Struthio camelus: one gene and its partners. Each later gene encodes a partner of the first gene's protein in a complex. Links are inferred from orthologs where the notes say so. Each region holds a gene or a part of one and is shown in the gene's direction. Other genes may lie near its edges.

Evidence for each region.
Region 2: the proteins of EIF4A1 (region 1) and KANK1 are in contact, whole or in part, in a crystal structure (PDB 7DDX), measured with the Mus musculus proteins. The link is inferred for Struthio camelus from reciprocal best matches to the Homo sapiens genes EIF4A1 and KANK1. Residues at the interface, in NP_659207.1 of Mus musculus: Lys99, Val140, Arg141, Val144, Gln145, Lys146, Leu147, Gln148, Met149, Glu150, Ala151, Arg168, Arg169, Tyr170, Ser172; in NP_852069.4 of Mus musculus: Gly1168, Asn1169, Asn1171, His1175, Tyr1176, Val1178, Asn1201, Lys1202, Ala1203, Tyr1205, Met1209, Leu1210, Leu1213, Ala1214, Ala1215, Gln1240, Ala1241, Leu1248, Ser1251, His1252, Arg1254, Asp1273, Glu1274, His1285.
Region 3: the proteins of EIF4A1 (region 1) and PDCD4 are in contact, whole or in part, in a crystal structure (PDB 2ZU6), measured with the Homo sapiens proteins. The link is inferred for Struthio camelus from reciprocal best matches to the Homo sapiens genes EIF4A1 and PDCD4. Residues at the interface, in NP_001407.1 of Homo sapiens: Gln75, Thr109, Arg110, Glu111, Ile135, Gly137, Val140, Thr158, Gly160, Arg161, Asp164, Glu186, Leu188, Ser189, Arg190, Gly191, Phe192, Gln195, Ala214, Thr215, Met216, Pro217, Glu240, Leu241, Thr242, Asn280, Thr281, Arg282, Arg283, Thr329; in NP_055271.2 of Homo sapiens: Pro170, Gln173, Glu174, Glu177, His178, Glu183, Glu186, Met187, Asp190, Leu209, Glu210, Lys212, Glu249, Leu250, Leu252, Asp253, Thr254, Pro255, Arg256, Gly320, Gln321, Gln322, Ser323, Val324, Leu327, Glu348, Lys352, Glu355, Val356, Pro357.

What each region holds. Positions count from the first base shown.
Region 1 is NW_027182614.1:1,544-8,952, forward strand, and holds the start of EIF4A1 (eukaryotic initiation factor 4A-I), read left to right. Parts: upstream 1-4,367; 5' UTR 4,368-4,442; coding exon 4,443-4,465; intron 4,466-5,908; coding exon 5,909-5,957; intron 5,958-6,053; coding exon 6,054-6,186; intron 6,187-7,409. Other genes in the region: SENP3 (sentrin-specific protease 3), read left to right, coding at 998-1,081, 1,202-1,252, 2,455-2,565. UniProt on the Homo sapiens protein: ATP-dependent RNA helicase which is a subunit of the eIF4F complex involved in cap recognition and is required for mRNA binding to ribosome.
Region 2 is NC_090982.1:9,422,555-9,429,956, reverse strand, and holds the start of KANK1 (KN motif and ankyrin repeat domain-containing protein 1), read left to right. Parts: upstream 1-4,328; 5' UTR 4,329-4,420; coding exon 4,421-4,517; intron 4,518-5,230; coding exon 5,231-7,402.
Region 3 is NC_090948.1:12,156,454-12,164,211, reverse strand, and holds the start of PDCD4 (programmed cell death protein 4), read left to right. Parts: upstream 1-4,684; 5' UTR 4,685-4,869; intron 4,870-7,222; exon of another isoform or gene 7,223-7,341; intron 7,342-7,758. UniProt on the Homo sapiens protein: Inhibits translation initiation and cap-dependent translation. May excert its function by hindering the interaction between EIF4A1 and EIF4G. Inhibits the helicase activity of EIF4A. Modulates the activation of JUN kinase.

The sequences.
Region 1 (7,409 bases):
CGGGGCCTCCGGGCAGGGGGCGGGGCCTGGGGGCGAGGCGGAGGGGGGGCGCGCCGGCGCATCACCTACTTCGACTCCCAGCGCACCCTCAACCGCCGCTGCCCCAAGGTGGGCGGGGCCTGCGGGCAGGGGGCGGGGCCTGCGGACAGGGGGCGGGGCCTGGGGGCGAGGGGGCGGGGCGGAGGGGGGGCACGCCGGCGCATCACCTACTTCAACTCCCAGCGCACCCTCAACCGCCGCTGCCCCAAGGTGGGCGGGGCCTGCGGGCAGGGGGCGGGGCCTGGGGGCGAGGGGGCGGGGCCTGGGAGCAGGGGCGGGGCGGAGGGGGGCGCGCCGGCGCATCACCTACTTCGACTCCCAGCGCACCCTCAACCGCTGCTGCGCCGAGGTGGGCGGGGCCTGGGGGCGAGGGGGCGTGGCCTGGGGGCGAGGGGGCGTGGCCTGGGGGCGAGGGGGCGGGGCCCGGGAGCAGGGGCGGGGCGTGGGGGGCGTGGTGATGCATGACCTTGGACTCCCAGCGCACCCTCAACCGCCGCTGCCCCAAGGTGGGCGGGGCCTGGGGTGGGCGGAGCCTGGGAGCAGGGGGCAGGGCCTGGGAGCCGGAGGGCGGGGCCACCCCATGTGCTTCAGCCCCCAGCGTGCTGCCAATAGCTGGTGGGGTGGGCGGGGCCTCCTGGGGTGGGCGGGGCCTCCTGGGGTGGGCGGGGCCTCCTGGGGTGGGCGGGGCCCGGTGGAGGGGCGGGGCCACACCATGTGCTCAGGCCCTGCCCCGTGTCTTCTCAGTGGCTGCTTTCCCCCCACCCCGAGGTGGGCGGGGCCTCGGCGCCGGGGGCGGGGCCTCCTGCGGGGGGCGGGGCCACACCAGCTGCTTCCACCCCCTCTCCTTCCCCCTCCCTCCCTCCCTCCCAACGCTCCGGGGGGGTGGGCGGGGCCGGGTGGGCGGGGCCCCGGCTGACCCCGCCCCCTGCCCCGGGCACTGACCCCGCCCCCGCGGCAGCACATCTGCCGCTACCTGCAGGCCGAGGCCGACCGGAAGGAGCGGCCGGACTTCCGCGAGGGCTGGCGGGGCGCCTTCAAGATGGTGAGCGCCGTCGGGGGGGGGGGGGACGGAGGGGACGCCTGGGCCCCCGCCGGGGCCGCCCGCACGCCTGGGCCCCCTCTCCCCCCCCCTTCACGGGCTGCTTCTCTCCCCCCCCCCCAGAACGTCGCCCGCCAGAACAACGACAGCGACTGCGGCGCCTTCGTGCTGCAGGTAGGGGCTGGGGGGCGCCGGTGCCCCCCCCCGGACCCCCCCACGGGCCCCCTCACCTCCCATGATCCCCCAGGGCCCCCCCGGACCCCCCCGCGGGCCCCCTCACCTCCCATGATCCCCCAGGGCCCCCCCGGACCCCCCTGGGGCCCCCCTCACCTCCCATGACCCCCCCAGGGCCCCCCCGACCCCCCCGCGGGCCCCCTCACCTCCCATGACCCCCCCAGGGCCCCCCCGACCCCCCCGCGGGCCCCCTCACCTCCCATGACCCCCCCAGGGCCCCCACGGACCCCCCCGCGGGCCCCCCTCACCTCCCCCTGACCCCCCTTGGCCTCCCTTGTGACCCCCCCCACCCCCTAGGAGCCCCCCCCGGGTCCCTCCATGACCCCCCCAACCCCCTAAGAGCCCCCCAGGGCCCCTGCTGGGGCTCCCCCCGACCCCCTTGGTGTCCCCCTGACCCCCGAGGACCCCCTCAACCCCCTGGGGTCCCCCCCGACCCCCCCCGACCTCCCTTGTGACCCCCCCCAATGCCTCTAGGACCCCCCCCCGGGTCCCTCCATGACCCCCCGAACCCCCTAAGAACCCCCCAGAGCCCCTGCTGGGGCCCCCCCCTGACCCCCTTGGTGTCCCCCTGACCCCCGAGGACCCCCTCAACCCCCTGGGGTCTCCCCTGACCCCCCCGGCCTCCCTTGTGACCCCCCCCAGCCCCCCTAGGAGCCCCCCCCCCGGCTCCCTCCATGACCCCCCGAACCCCCTAAGAGCCCCCCAGGGCCCCTGCTGGGGCTCCCCCTGACCCCCGAGGACCCCCTCAACCCCCTGGGGTCCCTTGTGACCCCCCGGGTGTACCTTGTGACCCCCCCAAATGCCTCTAGGACCCCCCCTGGGTCCCTCCATGACCCCCCCAACCCCCTAAGAGCCCCCCGGGGCCCCTGCTGGGGCTCCCCCTGACCCCCTTGGTGTCCCCCTGACCCCCGAGGACCCCCTCAACCACCTGGGGTCCCCCCCGACCCCCCGGCCTCCCTTGTGACCCCCTCCAGCCCCCCTAGGAGCCCCCCCGGGTCCCTCCATGACCCCCCGCCCCGGGCCTCCCCCGAGCCCCCCCAGGGGGCCCCTGCTGGGGCTCCCCCCGACGGCCGAGGACCCCCTGTGCCCCCCTGGGGTCCCCCCCCGAGGACCCCCCCCCGACGCCCCTCTCCCCCCCCCAGTACTGCAAGTTCCTGGCGCTGGGGCTGCCGTTCAGCTTCACGCAGCAGGACATGCCCAAGCTGCGGCGCCAGATGTACAAGGAGCTCTGCCACTGCAAGCTGGCCGTGTGACGCCGCCGCCTGTGCCGCCCCGCCGCCTGTGCCGGCCCGCCGCCTGTGCCAGGCCGCCGCGGGGATGGGGGGCTGTTCTGGGGGGGGGGGGGCGGGTTTTGTACAGCCGCCGGGGCCGCGACTCTTGTCGGGCAATAAAGAACCGGTTTGGAGCCGCCTGGGCCGGGACCGCGACCCCGCCGGGGGGGGGGGGGCACATGGGGCCCAGGCGTCCTGGGACTCCCCCCCCCCCCCCCCACCAACGCCACCGGGGGACCCAGGCGTCCGAGCGCCTCCGCTCCCCCTCCTCGCTCCCCCGTCTGCCCCTCGCCTTCTCAAAGGGGCCCAGGCGTCCGGTCTCTTCCCCCCCCGCCCAAAGGCACCCAGGTGTCTGGGACCTCTGCCCCCCTAAAGGGCCCAGGCGTCCGCCCCCCCCCCCCAAGGGACCCAGGTGTCTGGGACCTCCCCCCCCCCCCCAAAGGCCCCAGGTGTCCAGGACCCCCCAAAAGGGGCCCAGGTGTCTGGTCCCCCCCCCCAAGGGCACCCAGGTGTCTGGGACCTCCCCCCCGCTCCAAGGGACCCAGGTGTCCAGCACCCCCCAAAAGGGGCCCAGGCTTCCGGTCCCCCCCCCCCAAAGGGACCCAGGTGTCTGGGACCCCCCAAAAGGGGCCCAGGTGTCCGGTCCCCCCCCCCAAAGGGACCCAGGTGTCTGGGACCCCCCAAAAGGGGCCCAGGCGTCCGGGATCCTTCTCCCCCCAAAGGCACCCAGGTGTCTGGGACCCCCCAAAAGGGGCCCAGGCGTCCGGGATCCTTCTCCCCCCAAAGGCACCCAGGTGTCTGGGACCCCCCAAAAGGGGCCCAGGCGTCCGGGATCCTTCTCCCCCAAAGGCACCCAGGTGTCTGGGACCTCTGCCCCCCCTCTAAAGGGCCCAGGCGTCCGGCCCCCCCCCAAGGGACCCAGGTGTCTGGGACCTCTGCCCCCCCCCCAAAGGGCTCAGGTGTCCGCCCCCCCCCCCCAAGGGACCCAGGTGTCTGGGACCCCCCAAAAGGGGCCCAGGCGTCCGGGATCCTTCTCCCCCCAAAGGCACCCAGGTGTCTGGGACCCCCCAAAAGGGGCCCAGGCATCTAGTCCCCCCCCCCCAAAGGCACCCAGGTGTCTGGGACCCCCCAAAAGGGGCCCAGGCGTCCGGGATCCTTCTCCCCCCAAAGGCACCCAGGTGTCTGGGACTTCTGCCCCCCCCCAAAGGGCCCAGGTGTCCGGGACCCCCCCCAAGGGACCCAGGTGTCCAGGGACCCCCCAAAAGGGGCCCAGGCGTCCGGGACCCCTTCTCCCTTGAAGGGACCCAGGTGTCCAGGACCCCTCCCCCTCCAAGGGGCCCAGGTGTCTGCGACTCCCCCCCCCCAGAGGGACCCAGGTGTCCGGGTCCCCCCCCCCCAAGGGACCCAGGTGTCCGGGACCCCTCCCCCCCCACCAAGGGACCCCGGTGTCCCGGCGTGGGGGAGGGGCGCTCACACAAAGCTCCTCCCCCTCCCAGCGCTCCGGCATGGCCGCCCACGTGGGGGGGGGCTGGAGGAGGAGAGGCCCCGCCCTTCCGCCTTTAGCCCCGCCCCTTCCTCCCCGTGGCCCCTCCCCCGGCCGGCGGCGCGTTGGCGCCCCGTGAGGGCGGGAGTGGGAGGGGGGCGCGCGCGCATGCGCGCTGGGGGCGCCCCCTCTCCCCAGGGGGGAAGCGGGAGGGGAAGGGAGGAGGCGGGGCCAAGCGGGCGGCAGCGGCGGGCCAATGAGGGCCGAGCCGGTGGGCGGGCGCGGCGGCGGCGGGCCAATGGGCGCGCGGCGGGGGCGGGGCGCGGCGGCGGCTATAAGGCGGGCGCGGGCGGGCGGGGCGCCGACGCTGCCCAGGATGTCTGCGAGTCAGGAGAGCCGGTGAGGGGCGCGGGGGGGGGGGCGATTCCCTCACGGTTCCCGCCGGTCCCGTCCGGGCGCAACCACTAGGGGGGGTTGAGGGGGGGCGATTCCCTCCGGTCCGGGCGGAACCACCGGGGGAGGGGGGCGATTCCCTCACGGTTCCCGCCGGTCCCGTCCGGGCGCAACCACTAGGGGGGGTTGAGGGGGGGCGATTCCCTCCGGTCCGGGCGGAACCACCGGGGGGGGGGGCGATTCCCTCACGGTTCCCGCCGGTCCCGTCCGGGCGCAACCACTAGGGGGGGTTGAGGGGGGGGCGATTCCCTCCGGTCCGGGCGGAACCACCGGGGGGGGGCGATTCCCTCACGGTTCCCGCCAGTCCCGTTCGGGCGGAACCACCGGGTGGGGGGGGGGAGAGGCGCGATTCCCTCATGGTTCCCGCCGGTCCCGTTCGGGCGGAACCACCGGGGGGGGGTGATTCCCTCACGGTTCCCGCCGGTCCCGTTCGGGCGGAACCACCGGGGGGGGGGGGGCGATTCCCTCACGGTTCCCGCCGGTCCCGTCCGGGCGGAACCACTAGGGGGGTTTGAGGGGGGGCGATTCCCTCATGGTTCCCGCCGGTCCCGTCCGGGCGGAACCACTAGGGGGTTTGAGGGGGGGCGATTCCCTCACGGTTCCGGCCGGTCCCGTCCCGGCGGAACCACCGGGCGGCGGGGGGGGGGGGGTCCCTCACGATTGCGAGGGGCTGAGGGCTCTGGGCGGAACCACCAGGCCCGGGAAGGAGGAGGAGGGGGGGGGGTTTCCTCTGTCTCCGTCGGCGCCAGCGGCTGAGCCGCCCCTTGCCGCATGGCGGGGGGCGCCCTCCTCCTCCTCCCCCCGCGATGGTCGCGCCCGCCGCGGCGCCTGGGCGAGCCCATCGCGGCGGAGGGGAGGGGGGAGCGGGTGGGCGCGCCCATGGCGGCCACCCACGCGGGCGGAGTGGGGAGGGGGGTGGGAGCCGCTTCCCACCCCCCCCCCCCACCAACCCGCGGCGCGCCCGCGATGGTGGCGCCGGGCGAGCCCATCGGGGCGCGGGGGGGGGGGGAGAAAGGCGGCCGGGGTTCCCCCCCTCCCTCCAGCGCTCCGCGCGTGGTTCCTCCCGCGGCTCCCCCCGCCCTCCCCGCCGCGGGCGAGCCCACCCCGCCCGCGCGCGCTCTCGCGCCCATTGTCCTGCCGGCCGGGCACGCGGCGCTGACGTCACCCGCGGCGCGGCCCGCCGATTGGCTGCGGGGCTGCGCGGGATGGAGGGGAGGGAAAAGGGGGTGGGACTTCCGGCGGGAGTTAGGCCGCGACCACGTGGAGGAGCCTGCGCGGGGCGGAAGCGGCGGGAGGCGGCGGGGATCGGCTTCCGGGTCAGAGGGCAAGCGGAAGCGGAGCGGGGGGGGTCGGGGGGGAACGGCCGTGACCCCCGCTTCCTCCCGGCAGACCCCGAGACAATGGCCCCGAGGGGATGGACCCCGATGGCGTCATCGAGGTGAGCGGGGGGGGGCGGCGGGGGCCGTTTTGGGGGTCGGGGGGGGGGATCCGGCCGCCGAGGCCTCCCCCTGACCCCCCCCCGCCGCCGCCGCAGAGCAACTGGAACGAGATCGTGGACAGCTTCGACGACATGAACCTCTCGGAGTCGCTGCTGCGCGGCATCTACGCCTACGGCTTCGAGAAGCCCTCGGCCATCCAGCAGCGCGCCATCCTGCCCTGCATCAAGGGTACCCGCCCCCCAAACCCCCCCAAACTGCCCCAAAACCGCCCCCCGGCCCCCCGGCAGCGCCCTCCTGCCCTGCATCAAGGGTACCCGCACCCCAAACCCCCCCAAACTGCCCCAAAACCGCCCCTGGGCCCCCCGGCAGCGCCCTCCTGCCCTGCATCAAGGGTACCCGCACCCCAAACACCCCCAAACTGCCCCAAAACCGCCCCCCGGCAGCGCCCTCCTGCCCTGCATCAAGGGTACCCGCCCCCCAAACCCCCCCAAACTGCCCCAAAACCGCCCCCCGGCCCCCCGGCAGCGCCCTCCTGCCCTGCATCAAGGGTACCCGCACCCCAAACCCCCCCAAACTGCCCCAAAACCGCCCCCCGGCAGCACCCTCCTGCCCTGCATCAAGGGTACCCGCCCCCCAAACCCCCCCAAACTGCCCCAAAACCGCCCCCCGGCCCCCCGGCAGCGCCCTCCTGCCCTGCATCAAGGGTACCCGCCCCCCAAACACCCCCAAACTGCCCCAAAACCGCCCCCCGGCAGCGCCCTCCTGCCCTGCATCAAGGGTACGCGCCCCCCAAACACCCCCAAACTGCCCCAAAACTGCCCCCCGGCCCCCCGGCAGCGCCCTCCTGCCCTGCATGAAGGGTACGTGCACCCCAAACACGCCCAAACTGCCCCAAAACCGCCCCTGGGCCCTCCGGCAGCGCCATCCTGCCCTGCATCAAGGGTACGCGCACCCCAAACCCCCCCAAACTGCCCCAAAACCGCCCCCCGGCCCCCCGGCAGCGCCATCCTGCCCTGCATCAAGGGTACCCGCACCCCAAACCCCCCCAAACTGCCCCAAAACCGCCCCTGGGCCCTCCGGCAGCGCCCTCCTGCCCTGCATCAAGGGTACGCGCACCCCAAACACCCCCAAACTGCCCCAAAACCGCCCCCCGGCAGCGCCCTCCTGCCCTGCATCAAGGGTACCCGCCCCCCAAACCCCCCCAAACTGCCCCAAAACCGCCCCCCGGCCCCCCGGCAGCGCCCTCCTGCCCTGCATCAAGGGTACCCGCACCCCAAACACCCCCAAACTGCCCCAAAACCGCCCCCCGGCAGCACCCTCCTGCCCTGCATCAAGGGTACGCGCCCCCCAAACACCCCCAAACTGCCCCAAAACCGCCCCCCGGCCCCCCGGCAGCGCCCTCCTGCCCTGCATCAAGGGTACCCGCCCCCCAAACACGCCCAAAATGCCCC
Region 2 (7,402 bases), on another chromosome or scaffold:
TGATAATAACATAGATTTAGAAGATCTATGTTATTGGAGAGCTAGTAGTTTCATGACATCGTCTGTATATTGTTAGCCTGAAGAAACCTGCCAATTGAGTGTGCTGCAAGACTAAGGTTTTTTTTTGCAGCTGGTTTTATAGCTCCCGTAGGAATCCCAACACCTGAAAAGGAGAATGGAAGCATATGTGTTAAATATTCCATTCTGCTTTTTCTTTTTAAATAAGTGGTTGATCTAATGTTTTTTGGTTTCTTTCAGAAAGCAAGGCCGATACTCATGTCTTGAAGAACAGGGAAAAATACATAAAAGTAGTATTGGGAGCTGGGGGAGGAGAAGGGGAAAAGCATCGATTTCTTCTATATTGCAGTAAAGAACCAAAAGGTCAGAGCTCAGTTTTATCCCTTCTTCTCCTGCTCCTGATAACCTTTCAAGCTGAAGTTCAGCATATAAAAATACTGATTCAACTCCATTTCTGCCAGTTATTGCTTCTGTCTTTTTCCTCTGCAACATTCTTTATGATTCTTGTATGCAATAACTCTGGAAGGAGACTGTTACTCATAACGTTATTTCAATGGAAAAGATTTCTTTGGTGGCAGTCAGATTGAAGAGAAAATTGCCTTAGAGAAGATATCATAACCAGATGGGGAGGGAAGGTTTTAGATGTGAGGTCTGTATTTTTCAAGGCACCTTAGACTTAGCTTCAGAGATGTATTTTCAGCTGTTTCTCTGTGCTCTTTCTGGGCCCTCCAAGGCACCATTGCAATAAAACTTTCTCTAGCTTGTAGAACCAATACTCTGTGCCTGCCTCCGTTTGCACTATTTCTTACCTTACTCTCCCTTTTCTCTCCCCCAAAACTCCTTTTTAAGCGCATGAACTAAATGTTCTGTTTTTTTTCCGGTTCTCCTGTTCAGGGAGCAGACATGATTAGCATGGACTCTGGTAGGGCTGATTCAATGTTTTAGTATACTGGTGTTCTTGTGTAGTGCATTGGATAGGATATAATTTAATGGAAGTTGGCAAGACTGGAATGTTTGGACAGAGCCAGTCCCAGCAGCGCAGGAAAAGAGAACAGAAGAGTGCAGTTTTTAAAATGCTGCTTGTGTCCAGTTCATGATTATCATGCAGTACGGAGAGGGAAAGGAAGACTTTGCGTACTTCTGGAGAAATGCGTTGATAGTGACAGTAACACAATGAGCCCGTTATGCTTTGCAGAGTATTTTACTTTGCAGGTACTTAGCCTAAAAAACATAGGTATGTTTGTGTCTCATCGCGTTTGAAGTCATTATACAGCAAAACAGCACTGTGTGCAACATTTGCACAAACAAAAGTGTGTATATCTGTGCGTGTGTGTCTTCACATGTTGTGTTTCAGTGATGTGATTTAAGATTTGCCTGAGGTACAGTAGAGACGCTGAGGAACAGCTCTCCCAGTTTCAGCAGTGCCCATGATGGGCTGTCGGAGGATGAGGCAAGAAGCCTAAAAAGAGCGTTTGTGCTGTCCTGTACTTGCTGCTACTTTTGTGTGCATTGGGGTGAAGGGGATAGGAATCTCTTGCAAGAAGATGCCTTTCTGGCTGAAGGGCAAATAGATACAGCTTCCTCTGAGGTTAATCTGAGGTAGCTGCTTTCTGTATCGCCTGGTACTCACCCACCGAAGCTAGGGTGTTAGGGCATCCACAGGTCATCCAGGACCTAAGGGCTGAAAGCAGAAAGAGCTGTGCTCTTATCAGGTGCTGCACTCATTTCCTTTTTAATAGATTTTTTTTTTCTTTTGGAACCAACAGAACCATTTTTATTGCCTGAAAACAGCCATCCATTTTGCTTTGTTCCATGCTTAACAGGCACACCCATTTTGGCCCTTTCCCTGAGACGGCAAAATGCACAAAGGGTTGGCACTGCTCCTGTGCTCCTGCAGGCTGCATCACAGCTTTCCGTTTGTTGTCGTTAGACTGCATGCCCGATCCTTGTTTGTCTTCGGTATCAAGGAATGGCTCCAAAGATCAGCTCATAATACCAGGATTGTGTTGATGGAGTGTTCTTTGTATTGTTTTAAGGAGAAGTAGTGTGCAATCCACTTCACACAGAATCTCATGGTTGTGGAGCAGTGGATATGAACTGCGTCCTGGCAGTGCTGCCAGCTAAAGCTAAGGACAGAAAGGATTTCATTGTGAAGACACTTAAATGCCTGCAGGCGTTACAGAGGTTTAGTAAAGGATTCAGTGTGTCTATATGTGTTTTAATTATATATTTCTGATGGGCTTCTGTTGAGCAATGTTAATGCTATTTCATGAAAAAAAACAATTATGTGAGATTCCAGTTTGGCTCTCATGACTTAGCATGAGATTTGCATGTCTTTTTAGAAGTTTTATGAATAATTTTTTCATAGATGCATTAATTTGTGAGTCCTGGGACTTCCCAAGTAATTTGTTTCTCCCTCCCACATCCAACACTTAAACACTGTGCCCAAGGCCAGCTTAGAGGAGCTGCCTGACCTCCTTGGTGTTGGGATGGGAGAATCGGCAATAGGAAGACAAGGACTGAGACGAGCAGAGAGCTGGGGAGAACGGAGGAGCAGGTAAAATCGGCATGGTGGAGCTAGAAACTATATGGGCTGGGTGAAGCCACTAGAAGAAAGCCCAGGATGAGGGCTGAGGACGTAGCGAGATTTTGGGTTAGAATTAGTGGAGCAGGTGAATGAAGAAGGGAGACTGGAGACGACAGAGGGTGAGAGCAGGGGTACAGCTGGGATGGGGAGGGGAAGGAAGGGAGACCCAGCCTTGGGCGAGGAGCTGTGGGGTTCGGAAAACAGCGCCGGTTGTCTGAGGAGCCCGGGAGTAGAGCAATGAATTTGGGGAGGAAGAGGAGTTGAGTAGAAAAGTACACTCTGTCTCGTTCAGAAACAAACAGACTTCTCCCCTGTCCAAGCCTGAGGCAGTCCTGCAGGAGAGGACTATGTGCTCATATGTTCTTAGAATAAGTAGGTGTAAATGTATTTTTGCTTCCATGTTGGTATTTAGGCGGCTATTTCGGGTGCATCTATAAGTAAATACCGCGGCATACCAGGACCCTGGTCTTTGAGCAGAAACATGCGGTCCGTGGGGGGGTTGTTTGTGTCTGCCGAAGAGCCAGCCCGCACGCTGTCACATGCAGGATTGAGATACCGATGTGTTCAAGTCAGCCCCGCTTCTTTTACCGTCGTGCCATGCCTGCCCGCTGTCCACGCTGCCGTCCCGTTCTTTCGCAGTGCCGGGGTAGGCGCGTTTCCCCCAAGCATCATCCTGCGGCTTGGGGTGTCCCGTGGTAGGCAGAAGCGTGAAGGATCACTCTGAAAGCAACTGTGTTGTATGTAGACAGGGCTTTTCTCAAGCATGGCCAAAGAAACTGGAAAAACAGGAGCCTTTCTTTTTTTTTTTTTCTCCCCTCCCCTAAACCTTTTCAGTGCAACATTAAGTCACTTCCTGCAGATGCAATAAGGGGGGGGAGGTTCTGTCTTTTGAGGCTTATATTCCTGTAAGAGGACACGACTTTCAAACCTAGCTATTTAAAAACAGAGCAGAAAGCTAAATTTGTGTTCAGATACTTAGCTGCCTACTACATCCTGCATGTCTTTGCGGAGGAAACACGGATGTGGAGCCAGTTTAGCTCAGTGGATTATACGGGCAAATGCAAGAGCGTCTGTGTATAAAAACTGCTGCATCCACTTGCCCCGGAGACAGAGCTGCTGCTTTTAAGGAGGAGCAGAAAGCCAGGAACATGTGCAACAGACAGACAGATTTATACAAATGATCTTTTGCTGTTTGCTGGGGAGGGGAGGGGCGCGGGAAGTGGCAGGGGTGGAGGATACTGCACCTTTAAAATATTAACTGTTCGCTTACCGCGGAAATGGACGAGCGTGTTGGACAGCTGAGGACCTTAGGAGGAGGAGAAGGCAGTGCTCACCAGCCCTGGTTGAAACCAAACTCATTGGAGAAAGCTCAGCCTATGAAATGGTGTGCCGTGCTTGGCTGAGTTTACACTAATGTGGGCTTTTTTTTCCTTATGGGGTGAAGAATGAGAGAGTTGAGAGGCAGGGCTTTGGTGAGCCGAGAGCTTGTTTATGACACATGAAGCTGGGACCGCGCGGAGAATTACCGGAGGCCTAGTAATACGTGGCTGGAAAATTTACAGTGTGGGGGCAGAGGCATGTAGCTAATTCAGGTAACCGGAAAGCTGGCTTTTATTATTCCTCCTGCTGCTCAAATGTACCCAGCTCCTCTAATAACTTGTGGCAAGTTCTGTTGTGTGGTGGTGGTGGTGGTGGTGGTGGGGTGTTCCCCCCCTGCCAAATGGGACAAGAGAAACAGGTTATATAGTATTTAAATCTTCTGCCTGCAGAAGCCCGGGAGATGTGGTGAAGTTTTATTTAGATTGCGCTGGAGACATGCGAGTGCTGTGTCTGGGGGACGTCCGAATTTCCCTGACATCCGAGACGACGGTTTCTCTTTTGGTGGTGGAATTCGAGACGCGGCTGGAAACAGGTCCAGCTGCATATTTTTAGTGTGTGGGCTCCATGCAGGTTGGGAGTATAAGAGACAGAGCCGCTGGTCGAAGTAGTGTGATCTCAAGCAAGAGCGAGCTGATAATGCTGCTCTTACGGCAGCAGTTTGCAAAGCAATAAAATAACTGTAGATCAGTTTAAAGTCTACTGGCATTGATAGCTTAAGGAGGGGGGTTGGGGTTGGGTAGCCTGTTTTAATGTACCCTCTGGAGAAGTCGGTCTCTTAGATGATTCACGGCAATACACTGTAATCTTTCTATGACAGCTTAGCATGCGTGCAAGCTTGATGTGACGCGGAAATACTGGAGGGATTTGTGGAAGTACAGTTTGTGCTATGGGCTGTGCCACGTCTCTGCCTCTTTATTCATAAGGTTATCAGTGTGTGCGCATATATTTACACACGCACGTGTATATATATGTGTATGTGTATATATATACATATATATGTACACACACACATATATATGTGTGCACCTTTCAGTATTTGCAGTCCTACTGATTAACTTTGGAAAAGTTCATTGGGATTTTGTGTTACAGGTAGATCAGCAGAATGGTCTGCTTTCTGGGCTGTAACAGCAGCTTTTGCCTAGCGGTGTGCTGTGAGCACCCTTGTCTGTACACTCGTGTTTCAGTGCATAGCCTGCTGAGACATAGTTTCTTTTCCACTTACTGATTTTGTTTCTCCTCCTGCAGAAAAAGAGGAAGCTGTTATAAATGGAGAAGATGAAAAAGAACGGAAAGACCCCTATTTTGTGGAAACACCTTACGGCTACCAGCTGGACTTGGATTTTCTGAAGTACGTGGACGATATACAAAAGGGGAATACCATTAAGAAATTAAACATCCAGAAGAAGAAGAAAGCGGTACCTGCTTCTGCAGGCACCAGGAACCCTGGTGGCCAGGGCAGTGGCTGGACCTCCACCGAGTCTCTCTCGTCATCGAACAGTGATGAGAATAAGCAGTTGTGTGCGGCAGCTAGGAGTCAAGTATCCCCATCTGTCGCTGTGAGACCATCAGTTTCCTTCGAAGCATCTCCTTCCTACTTAACTGTCCCCGAGAGCAAGCAGCTTCCTCCTCCCTCCCCCCAGCTTCCCCAGCACAACCTCCATGTGACAAAAACGCTCATGGAAACGCGGAGACGACTAGAGCAGGAGAGAATGATGCAGGTCACGCCAGGAGAGGTCCGCAGGCCCCGGCTCTCCAGCTTTGGGGGCATGGGCTCAACGAGCTCCCTTCCCTCGTTCGTAGGATCCAGTGGGTACAGCCACATGTCCCAGCAGCTTCAAAACGGGTATCAAGGTAATGGAGACTACGGCGCCTGCTTCGGCTCCTCGCTGGGCAGTTCCATTCGCCACAGCCCCCTGAGTTCGGGAATATCCACGCCGGTGACCAATGTGAGCCCGGTGCATCTGCAGCACATCCGGGAACAAATGGCGATTGCCCTGAAGCGTCTCAAGGAGCTTGAAGAGCAAGTCAAAACCATTCCTGTGCTCCAGGTCAAAATTTCAGTGTTACAAGAAGAGAAGAGGCACATGATGGCAGAACTCAAGAGCCAAAGGAAACCCAGTCAAAACGACATGTATGGTTTCAGGAAACGATCTTACAGTGCAGGAAATGCGGAACAGTGGGAACATCTGTCTCAGGTCAGAAGAGGTGGAGAATTGTATATAGATTGTGAGGAGGACATGGAGAGCATGGAGCAGAGCTCTCAGAGGATAGAGGAGTTTAGGCAGCTGACTGCTGAAATGCAAGCGCTGGAGAAAAAAATCCAGGATAGCAACTATGAAATTCCAGCAAATCTTAGGGTGAACAGAGAGAGCCTAACAAAAGAGAGCAGATCTGTTGCTGTTGGTGCTGATGAAAACATGAACGATGTCGTTATATACAACAGATCTTTGAGGCAACACAGAGAAGTAGCCGTGGGAACAGAGAAAGAAACGAGAGAGTCCGGGGTCGGGGTGACGGAAGCCATGCTTGGCTTGTCTACAGAAGTTGAGAAGGAGCTAGAGCTTCAGCAGCAGACTATTGAAGCCCTGAAGGAGAAGATCTATAGACTAGAAGTTCAGTTAAAGGAAACTACCCATGACAGGGAAATGACCAAATTAAAACAGGAGCTGCAGGCAGCTGGATCTAGGAAAAAAGTGGATAAAGCCTTGATGGCTCAGCCCGCTGTCGTCAGCAGAATGGTGGAGGCTGTGGTACAAACAAGAGACCAAATGGTGGGCGATCATGTGAACGTTGCTGATTCGTCTGTGGGGAACCACCTACAAGTGAGCAGTGTTGGCACCTCCTGCAGGCCTGTCGTACAGAGCACAGCGGTGGGCCCCGAGCTGCTCATGAATCGGTGGCTTGTGAAGGAGAAAGCAGAAGTGCGAGACCAGTGCACGGGAAGATCTGTTGAGGTGTACGATAAGAAGGTGGGTGTAGAGACAAGTGTCTGTGAAACAGGTGTCAACACAGAGGAGTCCGTAGGCGACCTGAGTCTCTGCAAGACGGAGCAGAAGATCAGAGAGGTGAGGTCAATAGGCTGCGGGGACTGTTCAGTGGATGTGATTGTTTGCGCCCCGAAGGAGTGCGTGTCCCGTGAAACGGCCACAGAGGCTGTGTGCAGAGCAGAAGCCACAGTCATGGCCATACCTTGTACAGCTACCCAGCAAACCAGCACGGTTTTGGAAATGATGAGCCAGTGCACCAGTACAGAAGCAGCCTCTCTGACAGACTGCGGCACAAACACTGCTCTGAGCAGTTACGATAAGCAGACCAACACTGTGAACGTGGAGACGCGGACTGTGGCGGTAGGAGATGGCAGGGTAAAGGATGTAAACGTATCTGCTAAAACCCGTTCGGTTGGAGTGGGAACCTTGC
Region 3 (7,758 bases), on another chromosome or scaffold:
CTTATTATCCCTGGCATTTAGCAGAGTCAGGAAATGAAGGAAAGCAGCTAAGTGACTTGCCTTAGGTCATGCAGTAAGTCGGCGTCAGAGGTGGGAACTCAGCCCCGAACTGCTGACTCCACCGCTCATGCCCTAATGCAAGGCCACACCTCTCCTTTTCTGTGCCAAGCCACCTCCTTTGGGAGCGCAGAGCTGGAGGTAGCACTGGCCCTGCTCGGAGGGTCAGCACAGCCTTGGCAGTGCTCAGGAGGCACCTGGCACTGCTGCCCGGGAGCTGCTCTGTGGCTCAGAGCAGCACCAGTGGCTCCTAAGCCCGTCTCCTCCAAAGGAGCCCCACAGAGTCAGCGGACGTGTTGTTGCAGGCTCTGTCACGCTTGACATTGCAATCTGCTTTGGCGGATGGCACTGTGTGGCCAAGTCCATGGCAGCCAGTGGCCGCTGCTCGTAGGGCAGACCCCCTGAGGGCAAGACCTGGTGCAGTCTGCTGTGGGCGCATCCACCACAGCCTTGCAGCCACCGGGCCGAACACCACTGCTTCAGCCCCCAGTTTCCAGCACGCTCCCTCCAGCTCGCTGGCCATATGCACATGGGGAGACTACGAAGACCTTCCTTTACAGAAGACATTACCAGAGAGCCACTTCAATGTTTGTGCCCCAGAACAAGCTATACAGGGGAGGATCAGGAGTGTTTTTGCCTGTATCACTGCAGCCAGATCGCAGAGTATGCAGGAACAGCCAGGCTGCTACTCACCTGCTCGCCAAGTCCCGACAACAGCAAGGGTGCAGCAACGCAGACTCCAATCCAGGTGGTCCAAGCCTTCCAGGGAACCTAGATATACGTGTAGGCACCTGCAAGGAGATCAGTAATGCACTTCTGAAATGCTATGCTCTTTGGCTGGCTCAGCCGGCTGGGCTGAGATGGATGCATAAGGTGCCAAATCTGCGTGGCTTGCAGCAACAGAGCTGGGAAATTGAAGCCCTTCTACACTGTCACATCTCTAGCTTCCAGTTCAGTTTTGGGACATTGAGACGGTGTGTCAGCACGGAGAAGGCAAGAAGGAGGGACTGAAGAGGAAAAGACATAAGAGAGAGAGAAAGAGGAGAGCAGAAGAGAAAGCGGGTGAAAAGAGATGTGTAGACATAACCCACCATGAGAAAGCCTTGGTTGAGTCTCCTGGCTCTGCTGAGATAGAATGTTTTTTTGGTGAATAACCACAAAAGGTGACCTGCACAGTTATATTTTTACAGTAATCATTTATTTCTAAAAACAGCAGCTAATTGCGTCTGCTCTTTCATTCCGTTTTGCTTATTTTTACCCCAGAAATATCAGGAAAGTCCACTTTTGTCTTCTCAATTTTTTTCTGGAAAATGCAAAATCTGTCTGGTTTTCTAATGACAAACAAAACCCTGCTTAAAACACTACAGCCCTGTGAGCAAGGCAGGTGTGACTGACACAGCTTCAGATTTCCAAGGGACACATTTAAATAAATAACAGAAACTAGTTAGCTTTCCTTAGGAGCTAGGGGATCTATACATAGAAGAGGCTGTCTAAGTTTTACTGGGATAAAACTCCAGGACAGGCAATAAACTGCCAGTTAATTAAGCCTAAGTTCCCTCTGGAGAAAACGCAAGCAAGGGGAAAATCTTGAATGGTGAGACTACAGTTGAATCAATCACAACCTCAGAAATGATACTGAGAATAAAAAGTGATTAAAAGGAACTATTTTAAAAAGCAAAATGACTGATTGGTTAACAAGCTATGTCTCCTAAGTCAGGCAGACTTGAGGCTTCTAGAGGATATTAATATGAATGGGAAAATACTTTTCCTGGATGCACATAGCTGAAGAAAACGGGGAAAGAAAAAGAGAGGTTACTCTACAGTGAGGATGGGATAGAGGCTAGTGTTAAATTAGATGTGTGCAAAATCCAAATTCCTACTTTGCCTTAACTTTCACTGAGGGTGAGGATGTTACTCACAAGGCTGAAGATGAGAGGGATGATGGCACGGGGATATGGAAATGGGCGCAGCCAGGATGGAGGCAAATCTCCAGGAGCCTTCCTGCTGCCAAGGCAGGGGAACGGGATAATCCGCATGCCAGAGCTCTGGAAGAACTAGCCCTAATGTCTAGGGCTAGTTCTGAACCAGATCCCTCTGTTCAGGGACAGAATAGCAGGCACAGGCCTTACATGTAAGAAGCGAGAAGGAACCGATCTGGACAAGAACAGGCATGAAAGTTTCAACTCGGTGTATGGAAGGCTTCACAACAAATTGTGAAGGAAGGGATGGTTAAGGGGAGGGAGGTAAATGGCATGAGATTGAATGGGTTTATCAAATCCATTTATCTTTCTTGGACAAAGTAAGTGATTTGCTTAGTGAAGGAAACGGGGCGGATCTCACCTATCTGGACTTCAGTTACGCATTTCATGTGGTGCCCCGTGGAAAGTTCTTAGGTAAAGAGAGAAGTGATTTAGCACAAGGGTTAAAGCACATTTGGTGAAGACCTGCTGTGAGAGCAGTGCAGGAAAGACTATTAGGTTAGATGGAAGTTATTGGGGGAGTGTTAAAAGATCAGTCTTGGAGATCTGGCATAGTGTTTTTGTAAATGAGCTTGGCCCCAATGTTAATGGAGGACTGGTGAAATTGCTGATGACAGAAAATACGAGGCATCATCAGGACAAAGCAGGCCTGAGATGATACGCAGAAAAAAATGGCTAACTGCAAGAGAGAAATCAGCAGAAAGGGAAGGTCAGAGGCACAGATGACCAAACCCTTTGATACAAGCTGGTTGGCAGCTCACGCTTCACTCACAGAATAACCGAGTTGCCAACAGGATGGAAAAAAGAAAAAAGCTAAACGCAGCCCTAGCACGTGACAGGAAAGCTGCAGACAAGGGCTCCAGTGACGGCTGGGGAATGGAAGGAGAAGTTACCTTGTGGGATTTTGCAAAGTGAACGCTGAGAGCAACAGGATTTCTCTCTGTAAATACATCATGGAAGCGTCTCCCAGGAAGGGAGAGGGAAGAGCTAATGATGCTAAAGGCCAGTGCTGGTACAGGGTAAAGGATCAAAAAGAGGTATCAGACGTTTTCATTAGAAGATTGTTACTAACTGTTTGACAGTCTGGTTCAGGAACAAGCCTCCCAGTTGTTCTCCTGTATGCCAAATACTGAATCGCTTTGAGGACGGAACTCGATAAGTTTATAAAAAGGATTATATCACATGGTGCCTGTGATAGGAGACCCTGTGGCCCAGAAGTTTCTGCCAGTCCTATGCACATAGGTACATATTTTGTAACCCTCTGTCAATATAAATACAGAGGTGTGATTGTACATACACAGAAAAGCAGGCACATGATTTATTAATTCCATATATATCACAGGACCTCAGCTTGTCAAACAATAATTACAAGGCAATAACACACCTTGTTACAATAAATGACTCCCTAAGATTTTCTCCCACAGCAAACCAGGTAAAAAGGACAATTATTCTGAGGGTAAGACAGTATTACGTGCATCTGATTATTAGCTTTCAAATGAACTCACTGTCTGCAATTCTTTACAGCCAAATGAAGTACTCCGTTTTTTTTTTCTGCACATTTGACAAGTTCAGCCCTTTCCAGGAAAATGTCTTTTCAGATGCATGATTGCCTTTTGTTAGGGCAAGAATGAACAGATGACAACTGTAACACAAAGGAGACATGCTTGTGTCAGTTTTACAAAGCAAACCCAATTTTAAACTTTCTGCCGGGAGGGCGTACTCAGAAATATGAAGAGGGAAGGGGTTTTGTGCGCTGTCAGTAGCGAGTCTGGGAAAGACAAGCAAGAGACAGACGCAGGGACAAGCAAGCTGTGGTTTGTCCAAAGCCGTTTCAGTGAGAGGCACTTCAGTTCTCCCACCAAGGTAGACCTGAGCTGATCCCCTTCCATCCCACGGAGATGCCTGCCCTCATCCGCAGGGCAGCCCAGTCCAGAGCTCACGGAGCGAACCGTGGGAAGATGTTCAAAAGCAACTCAAACTAGAGAGCACTAAAAAAGCAAAGGCGGTTTTTAGTAGCCTTTCAACCTGGAGCTGAGGCTGACTGAGGAGGAACGGGATTGCTGTGCTTGCAGTTTGTTTTATGTATGCACCTTGAAGCCAGTGCAGAAGATGCAAAATAACAGTACTTTGAAGGAAAAGAAACCAGAAGGCCAAGAGACAGGCAACTGAACGGAGCAGATTGACTTAACAGATACGATACGTTTTGTTGCTGTCTGCATTATGTGTGGAAATTTATACTCTAAGTGACATAGTAACAGACCAGATTGTAATCAAACAGAACTGCTGAGGTGTCAGGATCACAGATGCTGCCTTTTGAAAATACCTAAAACAGAAAGTAAAACGTTGAAAAGTCCACCGTGGGGAGTACAGTGAAACTGCTCTGTGACATTTCTAACCATTTCTTTCTGCTTTGTATTGGTCTCTCTGGTGCTGGCGGTCTGATGACCTAAGTGAGTAACAACAGCTACAGTTCAAATAAACCTTGATGAAAAGCAAAGGCTGGCAGCAAACTGGCCAGGGCAGCCTGGAGACACGCGGTGTCTATTGTGCGCTAGACACTGGCCGGGGGGGAAGGGCTGCTCCACGCGTTTTGGGGAACTTCAGCCAATGGATTCCTCCCCTGGGTGTTACGGGAGGGCTTGGCCAGCATGTGAGAAAGGGAGGGGAAGAGTTTGAAAACAACCCAGCAGGCTCGAAGGAAGGAAGAAGGTTAGAAAGTGGCCCGCTTGGCTCTGTTCGAGCGTTTCGCTGCAGGTGATCGGCGGCGTTAGGGGCGGCAGGGCAGGAGGAGCCCGCCGGGCGCGGGCCGGCGCCGTCGAGGTCCCGGGCGCAGGTAACCCCGGGCCGCAGGTGTCGGGGGGCTGGCGTAGAGCAGCGCGGCTCGCGTGGGTCGCGCTGAGCTGGGGGTCGGCCAGGAGCTGTCGGAAGAAGGGTTTTTTCCTAAGAATAACTCAACTTGGTCTGAATGATAACTGGGAGGGGAGGAGGGCAACTCTGCTGGTCTGCTTTGATGGGGAATTTGGCGGCGTTTGCTGTTCATACAGCTGGAGGAGGGAGGGAGGCAAGCAGGCAGGGAGCGACTCTGTGCAGCAGCTCAGGGATTAATGTGTGATTTGGCTGATTCCTTTATCTATCACAGGACGTTTTGAGGCTAGAAAGGCAGAAAGAGATGATGTCTTTTATTAGATTGGCTGATAGAGTGGGAAAACACAAACAAGCTCTCATGCACGTACAGCCAAACCTAGATGAGATTTTCAGTGGCTGATATCCAAAGTGCTAAGAGACATTCAGCAGGAGAAAGAAGAAAACACAACTTTTTCTTGTCTGGAGGTGTGCTCGCTGGTTCAGGGTTTTTCATCTTTTTTTGATTAATGACCCAGATTTTGGGCCTCTTGGAAGTGATCCAGTCCTCAATTTTAGCAGAAAATCCTCCAGCAATTTTCCGCAGTGCTTTAAAACATTTAGTAACAATTGGCATGATGCACGGATGTGGTATTTTGTTGTATTTTCTCTTGTGCAGGTTCTTTTTACTGTTTCAATCTGCTGTCTCTGCCATCTCTCCCCTCCTCAGTGCAAAAGCCCTTTAAGGGTTATCTTCTCTCTTACAGGGGGGAGTTAATTCCATTTTATTTGTTAATGGCCTGGATTGACTTTCCAAATTTCAGTAATGTCACTGTGGTGTTTTGCCTTGTGCATGCTAATCAGTGGATGTGCAAAGAGCAAAGTGGAAATTATGTTTTGATTGATGAGAAAACAACATCTTTCAAGGGTGCCTCTAGGTTGCATGTGGAAATAGTCTTGTATGAACATGCTAAACTTCCCTGACTAGAAAATGCCTGGAACTTAGTGTCTTGGTGAACACGAAAGATTTTCTATTATTTGTCTGAGAGGGGAAGTGGTTTTTTCATTACTAAAACATAGCAGTCAAAGAGGATGGCTGAGTAAAAATATCATGCTGCACAGTCTTTTTAGTAGAATATCATTTGTTGTTTTAATTCTTAAACCTGCTTATGATGATTCATGCAGAGCCAGGCCAAAAAATGAATTTACAGGGTCTAATATAGGGAAAGTTTAGCTCTTAATTCAGTCAAATCTACACCTATTCAGCATAGAATTATAGTGGAGTAATATGTAAAAATACTATAAAAGTCAAGTGATAATGTATCAGCTGAGGGGGATTCTCTTGCTGGTAGCTGAAAAATCCTGCAATGCAGGAGTACTAAAGCAGAACTGATCTATGTTTTATTCCCTCGTAGCAGTGAAGTGCTATTGCTTAGGCTCTCAGGGGTGAGAAATTAGAGAGGGAAAATAAGGGATTAGCTGAGGTTTTAGGAGACACTGTGAACGGGGACAAAATATTTGACAAGGAAATGGGACCATCATTTCTAATTAGGTGGCCTTAGGCAGTGTACATAGAATAAACAGGGTAAGGGTAAAGTAATATAAAGTAGAACATTTAGAGGGCTGCGGATGGCTATCAACCCCCTAAATGTGCACTGTGCTAAGGGTTTTAGCAATGAAGACGACTGGCTGCAGCATCTTTTATGGGTCAGCTTCCCTGAAAATGAATGAGTCCCGTCTGCCAAGTTTGAGGCAATTGCGTGGTGTCCTCCTGCCAGGATCTCTAAACTCCTGTCCTGTAACACCGAATACTGCAGACAGGGAGTGGGTACATGGATCCTGTGTGAAGAGGAAACAAAAAGATCTGAAACCCTGGTGTTAGACTAGAATAACATAAAGAAGTAGTAATATTTTTCTGGTGGTTTTGCCTACAAAAAATGTAATGATTCCTAATTAAAGGAGGAGGATAGAGTGCTTGAACAGGAGTCAGGAAGAGCTGTCAAAGCGTCCACATTTCTCTTTCAGTTTTTGTGCAGAACTCCATCTGCCTTGGTGAGGTTTTGTAATTCGACCTGCAAAAGCCCCACTTCGCCCCTTCCCGTTTGCTGCGGGTGGAACTGCTCCCCCACCTTCCAGGCTTTGCCATTTCAGATCTAATCTAGAACCCGTTCAAGGTTTCTGCTGCTAACCGACACTAATGACCCCCTGAAATGACACAAGTCAGGAGATAACGACCAAGTGCACTTTTACGAGTGGGTCGGGGCAACTAATGGTACACAAGGTGGGAAAATGGATCTAGCTGGCCCGCTGCGTGCGTGACGCCCCGAAGGGCACGGCTCCGTGCAGCTGCCCAGGCAACACAGCTTTGCTCCAGCCACCCGGCCAGGTGGGCCGAGCGCAGCTCGGGCAGCAGACGCCGTCGGCAGCAGCGTACGGGGCCCCCTTGGCTCCCGCACCCGTGCAGGTTTATTTCCGCCACCTTTTTTTCCGCGCTGGACATCGCATCCCTCCCTTCCGCGGGTGGGATGGCGTTCACTCGGGAGCCCGCGGCCGGCCAGGCCCGTGGCCCGGGCGGCGGCCGTTGCCGTGACCGGGGAGTGGGGGGGCTGCTGAGGCCGGGGCTGCGCGGTGGGGAGCGAGGCCGTTGCCCCCCTTCCTCCCCCCCCCCCCCGGGGGCGGCTAGCAGCTCCCCGCGGAGCAGCACGTCTCTCCTCAGCGGCCGGGACAGCAAATGGCGCCCCCGGCCTCACCGCAGCAGGTCGGGCGAGGGGGGTGGTGGGGGGGAACCCGCTCCTGCCCCACTCTCCGGCAGGGTATCCCTTCCCCCTCCCCGCACGAATGGTTCCTTCCCGCTCCCCCCCCACCACCACCACCGCGGCTG